Drosophila melanogaster: one gene and its partner. The protein of the gene in region 1 binds, or shares a complex with, the protein of each later gene. Each region holds a gene or a part of one and is shown on either strand. Other genes may lie near its edges. The genes, in order: Nelf-A and NELF-B.

Region 1 (7,810 bases):
TGTGGACTCGGGCAACGACCTGTTCGTGTACAAGCTTCCGGAACAGCCCACGGCCAACTACTATCTCTTGAGACCTTACTGCAATTCGGACGAACAGCAAGTCAACGATTTGTGCACTCGCCTGTATTTGCAGTGGCGGGGAGAGCTGGACGGAGGCAGGCACATTCCGTTCCCGCTGCCGGCGAATGTGCCAAACATTGTGGCGGATGGGCTGATCGGTGGATATCTCACCCTCAGTCCGCAACTGTGCATTGTGGCCTACGACGAGAGTAACCGTATCATTGGATATTCATGCGCCGCCCTGGATGTCAACATATTTCGACGCAACCTGGAGCTGTGCTGGTACACGGAACTGCGTGAGAAGTACTCTAGAGATATTTGTCCACTGGAGGGTGGCGAGGAGGTTGTACAGCTCGTCACCTCCCTTGTGGAGAGTTATCATGACAGCAGCGGTAACGGGGCTCTGGACCAGTGTCCCGTAGAGGTGAGCGGCTCCTTCCCTGCCGTGTTGATCTCCGGAACTTTGCGCGAAGCGGAGGAGCGCGACTCGGGAATAACCAAGCGGATGCTCACCGTACTTCTGGCCGCCCTGCGTGCGAACGGCTGCTTTGGTGCTCACGTTCGCGTTCCGCAACAAGATGTCGCCCAGGTGAACTTTTATTCCAGAATCGGTTTCGTGGATGTCTATCGCGAGGAGGCCACCAAGTGTATTTACATGGGTCGCCGTTTCTAGCGTAGCTGGTTGCCACCTTCACTGCCTCCACTTTTAATGTTCCTTCATCTTTGGTATTCCGGCTAGCGGTGCTAGCTACTCACGTCATGTCCTCGTCCTTTTTGTATTCCCTTGAGGTATAAAGTTTGTATAACTGACCAACCCTTCCAGCATTTATCGTAAGCATTGTTTTCTTACTGAGAAAAACAATAAAAATACCAATTTAATAAAACTTTTGCTAGCTTTTGTTCAGGTCGTAGAACCAGACGGTGTTTACTCCGTCCTCTATAATCTTCACGTGCTCTAGGCTGGGTAGTGGAAAGCGGCAGGCGATAATCTTGGTGTTGTGCGGACACTCAGCAATGAGTTTGTGTTCTAGATCTTGCATCATCTGCTCAACCCCAAAAATGACCACGAAGTTGTAGTCCTTTATATCGAACTTCCAGAGATCTCGCCGAAAAAATCTCGTCCGTTTGGAAACGCTGTGACGCAGCGCGGCCAGGCGCGAGTAGTAGACCAGCCATGGGTTTAGCTCCACGCCATCTGCTTTTAGAGCACCACAATGCTGTGCCGCAGCTGGAAAGAATTACATAAGTTATCTGCAATGTTTTTAAATGGACTAGGTGAAGCGTACTTACCCACTACAATCCGTCCGTCGCCGGATCCAATGTCCAGCAGTTTTCCGGCCGAATTCTTGGGCAGGAAGCTGAGAACGTTCTGTATTTGCTCGGTCGTCGCTGGCACATAAGGCAAGCAAATCCTCCGGAATGCAGGCGCCACAAAGGAGGCGCACACAATCGACAGACCGATACCTACTCCGCCCGTTGCTGCTATCAGGATCTTGCCGCCCGTGGACATGCCACTTTTCGGCGTCTTGGCAAGCGGATTCGGAGCAGATTCGTTGAGGAGTTCCATTTCTATTATCAGAAATTCATGTTTACCTCAATTGCTTAGTATTCAGCGATTATTTATCGATAGCTGGTAGCCCTGCAGGGGGCGCTGTTACAACGGCGTTTTGCACCACTGGACCGTGCACACTGTTTGACATGTGGCAACACTTTTTTCGTGCGTTTGATGTGTGCGTGCGCTTCCTATTACAATTTTTTCGAAGGATTTTTCGTGTGTCTTGTTGACGTGCAGCGCGGCAGAAAGTGAAAAACGCCATCAAATAGTGCCGTGCAACAGGGCGGGTCAACGTTTGGCATAAATTGCAGTGTGTGCCCCGCGTGCGGACAGGCGTAATTCGAAAAAATGGCGAACGTAAGGGACAGCGACACATCACTGTGGCTGCATAATAAACTGGGCACCTCGAACGACTCGTGGATAAACGGCTCCATCTGCTCGCAGCTGAACAAGGAGGTGCTGCGCAACATCAAGGAATGCTTCCCCGATCTGCAAACGCAGGTCAAACTGAAGCTCCTACTCAGCTTCCTTCACATCCCGCGCCGTCTGGTGGAGGAGGTAAATGAAATCCAATGAATTGAAATGGCGTTGGTGTATGGAAAAAGTACACCAGTGCATACGCACGCATACTGCGGCCCGCGCGCACACGTACACGGAGTACACTTACCGTTGTTGAAACAAAAAGTGCGGACAATTTTTAAATACTCGGAAAATCTCTTAGATCCCATCACCTGGCGGACCCCAAAGCACATTTCTTCGCCTTTTAACATTTCCCCCCCGGGCGATTTCGCGGGTTGGTGAAAATAAATATTAGCAACGTTTCCCGCCACTTCTGCTTTTGTGTACACATTTCTCTCTCTCCGACACTTGTGCGTGGATTTCTCTCCCGTGTGCCTCGGTGTGTTCATGTGTGAGTGGGCTGTTGTGGGTGGCCGCGGATTCATTTGTTTGTTGTGCCCTTCCCACAGAGCAATTCGAATTTTATCAGACGTTTGACATCGCAGTTAAAAGATACATTTGTATCTCCAGGCTGCTGAGCTGGTAGACCAAGTATAAATACAAATAACTATTGATTTTTTATTTGATTTGCAACGTGCCGTTATAGTGTAATTAAAATCTGTATTTAATCGATCATACCAGGACTACCAGATCGTAAATATTCATTGTATCTATTACCTGAAAGTGTATTTGAGCATCGAGTTGTCAATTTATTTATGCAACCCAACCCATTGTTGATTTGATTGCAATTTGCAGTGGAAGGCGGAACTTGAGGAGGTGATCGAGGTAGCCGGCCTGGATTCAGAGCTATGGGTTTCCATGCTGGCGGAGACGATGAAGACCTTTCCGGCGACCAGTTCGCTCAACACCGAGATCTCCGATTACGAGGACACGCGTCCCATCTTCATAGACATGGTCAACGACCTGCGCAAGCTGGTCACAAAGCATTCGGACCTCGGCATGCTGCCTCTGGAGTGCCAGTACCTAAATAAAAACGCACTGATCTCAGTGGTGGGTATAGACAAACTTACTAAATCTTACCTGTTTTGAACTAATAATTTTTTCTTGTTTAATTCAGGTGGGCCAGCAACCCGCTCCCGTCAAGCATTTTACGCTGAAGCGCAAGCCGAAGAGCGCCCAGTTGCGCACCGAATTGTTACACAAGTCAGCCGATGCGCAGTCCTCGCTGAAGAAGGCCTCGGCCCCCACAATACCGCTGCGATCGCGTGGCATGCCACGTAAGATGACAGACACTACCCCGCTGAAGGGAATCCCATCTCGCATGCCCACCACTGGGTTCCGTTCGGCCACCGTGCCGGGAAATGCCGCCCAGCGCCCCAATCTCAGTCGAACGCCTGCTGGACGCAAAGACGGTGGCATTAAACTGATCGAATTCACCGAACAGCCCTTGGGTTATGCGGCGGCTAAGAAGCGAAAGCGCGAGCAGCAACTGGAAGAGCAGCAAAAGAAGCAGGAGCAGAAACAGCAACAGGCAGCTGCAGCGGCAGCTGCGGCCGCCACAGCAGCGGCAAGCAATGCTGGTGACAGCTCACCAACGGACGCGGCGACTGCCAGTGGAGGCGAAACACCCGTCACGCCCACGTCAGCTAACAACAGCTTCGAAATCAAAATGGAACCGCAGCAACTCAACCAGAGCGCTGGAAGCCTGGAAGAGCCGCAAGACGATGAGATGTCTGGCAAAGCGAATATGGAATGCGATATCGAGACGCCGGAGTACGCTACAGCCACGCTGGACTTTGCCCAGGCCACTTCGACGTCCGTGGCGGATGGTCAACCGGGAAAACCAGCAGTAGAAACGAAGCTGAAGACGCCGCGAACTCCGAAATCCGCAGCAAAACTGAACAACAACAACAACAACAACAACAACAACAGCTTCAATCACACCCCAAAACGAATCAAGCAGGAAATAGAGATCAAGAGCGAGGAGATCATAGTACCCGCCAGCATCAAACTCGAAAAGATCGAAACTTCACCGTCGACCCAACGCGTCAGTATCCAGCAACAGCCGCCTAGTTTGGTGCAGCGCACCCCGCACCTGCTTATCCGCAGTTCGCCGCAGAAGCGGCAGAACAACGGGGCAACCACGAGTGCAGGCACAACCACAACCACTGTGGGCAATACCACCATCAAGATGGAGAAGCTGGACATCAAGCCAATGATACGCGCCACCGGTGTCTCGCCTTCGACGAGTGCGGGCACTACGACTACACTTCTTACCCCGCAGCAACTGCGTCAGGCGGCCAATCCGTTGGCCAATCTGCCCAACAATATCTCCGTGAAGATAACCTCTGCCAAGGCGAAAGCGGCAGCTGCAGCAGCGGCAACATCCAGTGGCAGCCAGACTCAGTCGCAGCAGCCGCAAACGTTGCAGGTTCAGCAGGCGCCTCAGCAGTCGCATCCCCCGCTTTTGATTAACAGCTCCACACCCGTGATCTTGGCGTCCTCGCCCAGCGCTCAGAGAGCGGTAAGTATAAAATTATGCGTAGCTCTATTGGAGAACTTTTAGTTAGGAATTTCTTTAATTTTCCTGGACAAATATTTGAAATTCTATCACCTGCCATAATGAAACTTAGTCCCTCTTTGCTAATTAACTTAATTCTTCGGTTGCAGAAGGCTTTGGCTTTGCCTAGTAGCAGTACCTCCGCCACAACTACCACGACGATACCGTCGCAAGCCATAAAGACGATGCCACTGAGCCAGCTGAAGACGGCTACCAACAGCGGACCAGTGATCATATCGCAGACTATTATCCAGCCGGCAAAGCGAGCCCAACAACAGGCTGGAACCTCCAGTGCAGCGGCCGCTTCGCAACAGCAGCAGCAACAACAGTCGCAGCAGCAATTGTTACACCAGCAAATCCAGCAGCAGACCCAACAGCAGGCGCAGTTACCACAGCAGCCTCAGCAGCAACAGACGCAGTATATTCTAGCCACACCCCAGCAGCAACCGCAACAAATTCAACAGCAGCAACAACAGCAACAGCCCATTTTGCCAACGCTTACCTCGTTCTCACACAGTCGGCCTATGCCGCAGACTACGACGCTTTACCAAGCCACTACTCCTAGCGGAAGCGGTCAGACGCCGACCAAGATTTTGCTAAAGACATCGGGCTCTTCAAGCGTGGTGATGACGCCTCTGCGCCAAGCGCAGCCGCAACAGGCCACCGCTGTGGTGTCGTCGAATCCTCCGCCATTGGTGGCCACTTCGGCGGCAGTAGTTTCCCCGGGTCAGACAACCCTGAACATTCAGAATGTGCAGCTACCCAATCGACCAGTGACCATCCAACCAGCCTCCCAAGCCGCCCAGCAGCAGCATATGCAGGCCCAGTTGCAGCAGCAGCAACCGCATCCACAGCACACGATCGTTGCCAATACGACGGCCACGCAGCAGCCCAAGTTGTCTCAGGTTCTAATGCAGCCAACTGCAGCAGTTGGCACCAGTGGTGTATCCGCTCTGAACGTATCCCCTACGTCCGGAAAGAACAAGACCATCATACTCACCCAGAAGGGCGTTATACTGCGCAACATTGGCGGCGATATGTACCAGCAAATACCAATCAGCAATGTGGGCAACATGCAGGGACTCGGAGGCACCACGCTGATGACAACCACAGCTGGGCCGCCGAGTCTGGTGAAGACAACACCCTCGAGCGGTGTACAGTTGCAGCAGCAACAGTCTGGAAAGCAGATCCTGCCCACTCTCATACCAACCAGCTCGCTTGGAGGACAGCACGTTATTGTGCAGCAGCAGCAACCCACCAATGTCATCGGGAATGTAAGTGTATAAATTATGTTTTGCCAAACATTATTGGCAATAGAAATCGTAAATCTCTTTTCCCCACGTCCACTATGTTGCTATATGTAAAAATCTAACCACATTTGTATCTATCAGTCCCAACAGCAGACCATCATTCGGCCCGTTATGACCAACGTGGGCGGAGGCTTGACCACGCTGCCGCAGGGCCTGACGCTAATTCAACGGCCGGGCCAGCAGCCGCAGCTGGTGCAGGTGCAGGCGGCGCCGGGCAGCACGCAGCGCACGATTATTACCCAATCGAACACGGCGGCGGCGGCGTCGCAACAGCAGCCGCGCCAGCAGCAGCAACAAATCCTGGTCCAACACAAGCCGGCTCCGACCCTGCAGCAGCGTTTGGTCACCTCCACCACCAGCGGTGGACAGGGACAGCAGGGAAATCCGAATGCGGGGCTCCCGCGTACCGTGCAGGTGCAGGTGCAAGCTCAGCAGCAGCAGCAACCACAGCAGCAGCAAGCTACGCAACAGCAATCGCAGCAGGCACCCCAGCGACGTGGACTCTCTCTATCGGTAACAACATTGCACATATTTCTTTAAAATTAGATTTCAATCCTGTCCTGTGGTTTCTTCTAGAACGAACACGTGCACAAGGCGCACGAAATGTTCCGCAAGGCAAATCGCGTCTCGCGACCTGACAAAGCCCTTATCCTTGGATTTATGGCGGGTCTGCGGGAAAACCCGCGCCCAAATAACGAAAACGTGCTGGTCATCAAGTTGGGCGAAACAGAGGTAAGGCTATTTGCGATTTATTTCAAGCTTCTGCCTTGGTTAATTCTCAATGCTTTATGTCAATTGTTACAGGAAAAAGTACAACAGGACAACGGCCACACGGCACTGTGCCTGGTTGAGTCACACATCCGGCTGGACTACAACACCGGTGAGTGGAAGACATTCCAAAACTACAGGCTGCAGGACCAGAGTGCCGCCTCATAGTCCACAAGGGTCATACGCATAGTTCGCAGCAACAAGTGAGCAGGGACAGCCAGGCTGCAACTGGTTTGTGCGTATATGGATTGTTGAATATGTATTTTAATTTGTCATCCGTTCTGCATGGGCTGCTTCGCTGCCGCCCCTAATTAGGCTATTATAAACCCCCTCTCTCCTAAAAACCCTCACCACAACCTCCCGCAGTCAGCAAGACGCCCTAAGAAATGCTGGATATAATGAAACTATTTTATAATTAAGATAATTTAGCTGTACAGTTGTTTAGAATGTAGTAAAGGCTAGCGCTTAAACATTTAGTAAACAGGCCCGTTCGTACATCCATAAAAACACCCATTCATCCAAGCACACTGGCATAATCACCTCTGGCTGAACGCTTCACTGGAGAGCAGTTGGCAAGGCGGATGGGCCAGAAGTGAGCGTTTGGACGGATCACATAGGCACACACACATGCCTCACACATGCATTTTAAAACTGCATATATATACCTAGCTTATGTAATTGCTGTCGAGTAAAAAGTGTGTAATTATCTTACCAAGCAGCATAAAATTTAGAGACGCTGATCGGCGCTCGTATTCATTAGAAATCTAATGAAAATATATTTAGTTTTAGATATATATGTATGAGTCGCAGCCACCACAGCAAAATTAACTTAAATCTTGAAATGTGTAATAGACAAACAATAAAACTAGCATATGTATTTATGGCTTAAATGTTAAAACATCTGCTCTTGTGCTTGATTATGGAAAATGTAGGTCATGCAAACGTCAACTCACTCGGATATTCAAACACTCGATCAATTGATCAATTTGGTTATCAAGTGGTCTGCGCCCAAGTGGAATTCTAAAGACCTATTGGCGTGGTATGTGATTGAATTTTGAAATTGGCTGTAAGAGCAGTTGTAATACCAATAATCATTGG
Region 2 (4,912 bases), on another chromosome or scaffold:
GGCACCGCTGGCCTCCTCGTACAGGCACACCTCTTCGTAGTCCACCTCGGCGCCGGTTGCCCCGTCCTCGTCCAGTTCGTGCTTCACAATATCCAGCTGACCGTCGTGGTCGACCACATCATCTTCGTCATCGACATCATCGACCACATCGTCATCGTGGGCAATCTGGGAGAGCTCAATGCTGGAGATGCTGCCGTCGTGCTGCGACTGATGATGATGGTGGTGGTGGTGGTGGTGCGGCTGGTGATGATGCTCCTGCTGGTGATGGCCATGATGATGGTGATGGTGGTGCTGCGATACAGTGTCATCCGAGACGCCCTCCTCGTAGGCGGTCAGGATGAAGGTTTCCGCCTCATCGCTGACCAGGGTGATCTGCGAGGTGCCGTGATGTGAGGAGAGCGTGGCGGTATCGTGATCCGATTGCCCGTCATCGTCCATCACCTCGTCGTCGTCATCGTCCACATGCTGTTTCAAATGCAGCATAGCTCCAATGGGCAATGTGGTACTATTCGCGCCTCCAATGCCTCCACCGGCGCCGGCAACCCCACTCGTCTCATAGGTGATCTGTGTGTTCCGGTGCGATTTCAGTTTCGGCTGGTACACCTTCGACAGGAAGTCCAGCTCCTTGGCGTAGCGCCACTTGGATAGCCGCCCTTCGATGTACTTGGGCGTGCGCAGACGGTACTGGTGGAAAGTGTCCCGCAGGTTCTTCCACTTACGACGCACCTCCTGCACCGTGTACTTGTCTGGAAGAAAGAAAGAGGTAGTATAAATATGAGCGGGGTTTCAAAGGAATCGTATTCCTTTTACAGATAATTGATACAAGCTAGAACCTCTTCAAAGGCATCACATTTATGAAAACGTTTCTAAGTAACGATGAAATTATGAGTTGTGTTATAGTAGCCGGCGCCAGAACACTAGCCTATCAATACAATATGCATGTGGTATTTAAAACCAACTTTAGCGGAAGCTTATATTAATTCTGGAAGAAGGCTAATAGTCGGACATGAAGCAGGCCATGACTAGCACTCACTTCCTATCTGCTGGGCCACCTCCTGCCATCCGTTGAGGACATCGGAGCGGCGTCGCTGGTTCGGCTGCAGTTTGTAGTTGTAGAGAACCGGATTCTGGCGCACCAGGTTGATCAGCGTAAGGATGTCGTCCGTGGGCGCGTTGTCCTTGTGGTAGCGCTTGCGCTCTTGCGTCGACGAGGACATGTTGCTTCAGCTTCTGTGGGTTTCCACTGTTGTGCTCTCCCAAATCCTGATGATCCTTATCCCGATACCAATGCTGCTCCTCACATTCAGGTGTTTTGTTTTTGTTTACCCACGAAAAGAGAGGCTTTCGTTCTCGTCGAAATGCACGCACAAACACATACACAAGCGCACTTGAACGGAGCCAAACACCAGCTTATGTAGGTGTAGGAACACGCACGCACACACTCTCGCACACTCGATGCAAAGGATAGCGACTGTGTGCAGCAGGATCTCCTTTGTAGTCGCTACGGGGCACGAATCTCGGCAAGAATCGAGACGCCTTGTCCTTGGCGTTCAGCTCCAATTGTGCGAATTTGACTGCACTTGATGCTCTTGCTTTGCTTTTGGCTGTTTTTGCTGTTGCTTATTTCGCGCTAGGGATGACACATCGCGGAATTGGCGTTCTCTTTCGCCGTCACTGAAAAGCAAAAGTCCGTTTCCCTGTATTTATAATCCTCAATTAAAAGTTACGTTCTTATACAATTAAGTCGTATGGGAATGATGTTCTAAGGCAAACTAATTAAAGGTTTTTATTTTTTGAGTTCAGTTTTTTTACCAACACTATTAGAAATTAGACTTATATTGTATTTGTGGCCCATATAATTTTTTTTTATTATCTTTATTAATTTTTGTAACATTTACCATTCTACCAATAATAATAATACAACTATTTGTTGGCAAAATAATATTAATAACTACATGTTAAACATACAAAGTTGGCTATTACAAGCCGTGCTGATACGTGCACTATCGATAACACCGCACATGTGCAAGCCTGCGCTTATTTTTTTGTCTCCTCGCTAGCAATAAAAAACAACACAATTGTGTAGCTTCGTGTCTTGTTTTGCTCAATTTGCCGACGAATTGCATGATAATGAGCACACCGGCGAAAAATAACAATGGAACTGGACTGGAGGACGTGAATATTCCGGGTCAGGCCTATCTGCGCGAGGCCCTGACCTCCTGCACTGATCCCTTGAAGGCCATCGAGAGTTTTCAGGTTTGTTTACGTTGCACCGAAAAATGGGCGCCAAAAGTTCGGTGGGCTTATTTATCCAAATATCACCTGCCTTTTTAGCTTGAGAATGGTGTATTGCTGCCTTCACTGCGCCCCATGTTGCCTTTACTCGATTTGCACGGCGTGCGTCGACTGGACTTTCATACCTCGCTGATGGAGGAGCTGCGCGACAAGCTGATAGCTCACATCAACGAGATGGGCCAAAAGGAGCCCCGGGAGCGGGACAAGAAGCTCAAGGAGCTGCTCGTTAAGAGCTTCCCCGTCGTTCGGGTGAAGTCGCTGCGGCCCGTGGTCATGGCCATATTGAGGAATACCCAGCACATCGATGACAAGTACCTCAAAATCCTTGTAAGGGATCGGGAACTGTATGCGGACACGGATACGGAAGTTAAGCGGCAGATATGGCGTGATAATCAATCGTTGTTTGGTGACGAGGTGTCGCCTCTCCTCTCACAATATATTCGCGAGAAGGAGCACATCCTGTTTGATCACACCAACTTGAACAATCTGTTCTTCCACCCAACGCCCAAGGTGCGAAGGCAGGGGGAAGTAGTCCAAAAGTTGGCCAACATGATTGGCACCAGTGTCAAGCTGTACGATATGGTGCTGCAGTTCCTGCGCACTCTATTCCTGCGCACCCGCAATGTTCACTATTGCACGCTGCGTGCAGAGCTACTGATGGCCTTACACGATCTCGAGGTGCAGGAGATCATCTCGATAGATCCCTGTCACAAGTTCACCTGGTGCCTGGACGCCTGCATAAGGGAGAAGAATGTGGACATTAAACGTTCACGGGAGCTCCAGGGATTTCTTGACAACATCAAGCGCGGTCAGGAGCAGGTTCTGGGCGATCTGTCCATGACTTTGTGCGATCCGTATGCCATCAACTTTTTGGCCACGTCGGCCATCAAGATATTGCATCACTTGATCAACAACGAGGGCATGCCGCGTGACAATCAGATACTCATCCTGTTGTTGAGAATGTTGGCCTTGGGCTTGAGTGCCTGGGTGATGATCGATTCGCAAGACTTTAAGGAGCCCAAACTTGATTGCCAGGTGGTCACCAAGTTTTTGCCCGCCCTCATGTCGTTAATGGTTGACGACCAGTGCCGCAGCTTGCACGCGAAACTACCGCCGGACGAGCGTGAATCTGCTCTGACCACCATCGAGCATTCGGGACCGGCACCGGATGCCGTGGAGGCGTACATTCAAGAGAGTTCCGTGGCCAGCATATTGGCCATGTACTATACGCTGCACACGGCGCGCCTGAAGGATCGCGTGGGCGTGTTGCGCGTCTTGGCCATTCTGTCCGCCTGCAAAGACGACCGCGCATATGAGGATCCCTTCCTGCACTCTCTGGTTAGCATTTATAGCTGCTTTTCTAATATTTACTTTTCTGACTCGATTGCTTACCTCTACAGATTGCCCTGCTCATCCCCATGAGCGAAGAGTTTGCCACGGAGGACTTCTGCACCACGCTCTTCGACGAGTTCATCTTTGCCGGACTGACGCGCGAGAATGTGACCTCTCGTCACATGCTGAAACTTTTGTGGTATGTGCACAATAAGCTGCCCGCCGGTCGTTTGGCCACATTGATGAAGGCTATGCAGCCGACGACGGCCCACAACGAGCACATCCACAAGTTGTACGAAATTCTGCAGGAGAGAATCGGCACCGGGGCGGCGGAGACGCCGGTCATTGAAGCGCCGCCCATGGAGTTTGATTCGCCGCTAAAGAGTGTGCCAACGCCAGGACCGCACTATAATGTCCAATAGCTAGAGGCACCGGCAGTCGCACCACCTGCGGCTGTCGTCGGATGATGATGGTTATTTGTGATGATGATGTTGATGTTGATGATGATGATCGGAGGCCATGTATGTGGCTACCTCATATACTTCTCTGGAGCAGCCGACCGGATGGCAATCCCCAATTAGCATGCTTGCGCAAATAATAATTCTACTGTTTAGACTAAACATAAAGCACTGCGACCGAGCAATCGGATATAGTTTACATATTTACAGAATGTATGGCTTTGTTGGCAGGCATCAATCAGTTGTCGCTGGCTATTATATATATTATATATTACTGTTACGCTAGTGTAACGATCGATTCTAGTACACAATATAGAGTACAAATCTAAGGCAATGTCTTTTAGTTTCATCAGGGTTTTTGAAAGAAATATTGGTTCCCGGTACCAGTTTCTGTAATCACATACTCAACTTTTAACTCATCTTTACTCAAATTTAATGATTTACATAACTGGAGTTTCTTACGGACATGGATAATTGAAAGATCCTAATAAATTTCGGTATAAAAGTTTTTTAACGCTTATAGCTTAGGGAAATACACACAATTTAGGAGGTTTATTAGGGATAGGAGTCTTTCGTCTCATGTCTGATCTGTTTTGGAACTGGAAACTGGAGCTGATCCCGCTACGGAAGCGGCCGGAGATGTGGAAGCAGCCCCACCGGACGTGGACGCTGGCGAAACTTCCACGGGAGAGGTATCCAACGGAGGTAGTGAAGATGAGGCCGACAAAATCTCATCATCTATGCAAACGGTGGGCGAGTCTAGAGTTTGAATCTCTGGCGAGAGACTAGGAGCTGGCTGTGGCACAGACAGCGATGACGTGGATGAT

What was found.
Region 2: Nelf-A (region 1) and NELF-B share a complex: the UniProt entries of both Drosophila melanogaster proteins name them as parts of the NELF complex.

Annotation. Positions count from the first base shown.
Region 1 is NT_033777.3:21,221,907-21,229,716, forward strand, and holds Nelf-A (negative elongation factor A), read left to right. Parts: upstream 1-1,797; 5' UTR 1,798-1,963; coding exon 1,964-2,173; intron 2,174-2,282; exon of another isoform or gene 2,283-2,683; intron 2,684-2,869; coding exon 2,870-3,124; intron 3,125-3,191; coding exon 3,192-4,598; intron 4,599-4,744; coding exon 4,745-5,908; intron 5,909-6,025; coding exon 6,026-6,457; intron 6,458-6,520; coding exon 6,521-6,676; intron 6,677-6,748; coding exon 6,749-6,880; coding exon of another isoform or gene 6,881-6,919; 3' UTR 6,920-7,606; downstream 7,607-7,810. Other genes in the region: Oga (O-GlcNAcase), read left to right, coding at 1-733; CG3337 (uncharacterized protein), read right to left, coding at 951-1,288, 1,351-1,627. UniProt on the Drosophila melanogaster protein: Essential component of the NELF complex, a complex that negatively regulates the elongation of transcription by RNA polymerase II. Has an essential role in postembryonic development.
Region 2 is NC_004354.4:7,725,496-7,730,407, reverse strand, and holds NELF-B (NELF-B), read left to right. Parts: upstream 1-2,046; 5' UTR 2,047-2,124; coding exon 2,125-2,256; intron 2,257-2,334; coding exon 2,335-3,633; intron 3,634-3,695; coding exon 3,696-4,049; 3' UTR 4,050-4,412; downstream 4,413-4,912. Other genes in the region: CG12155 (uncharacterized protein), read right to left, coding at 1-746, 1,034-1,217; hira, read right to left, coding at 4,663-4,912. UniProt on the Drosophila melanogaster protein: Essential component of the NELF complex, a complex that negatively regulates the elongation of transcription by RNA polymerase II.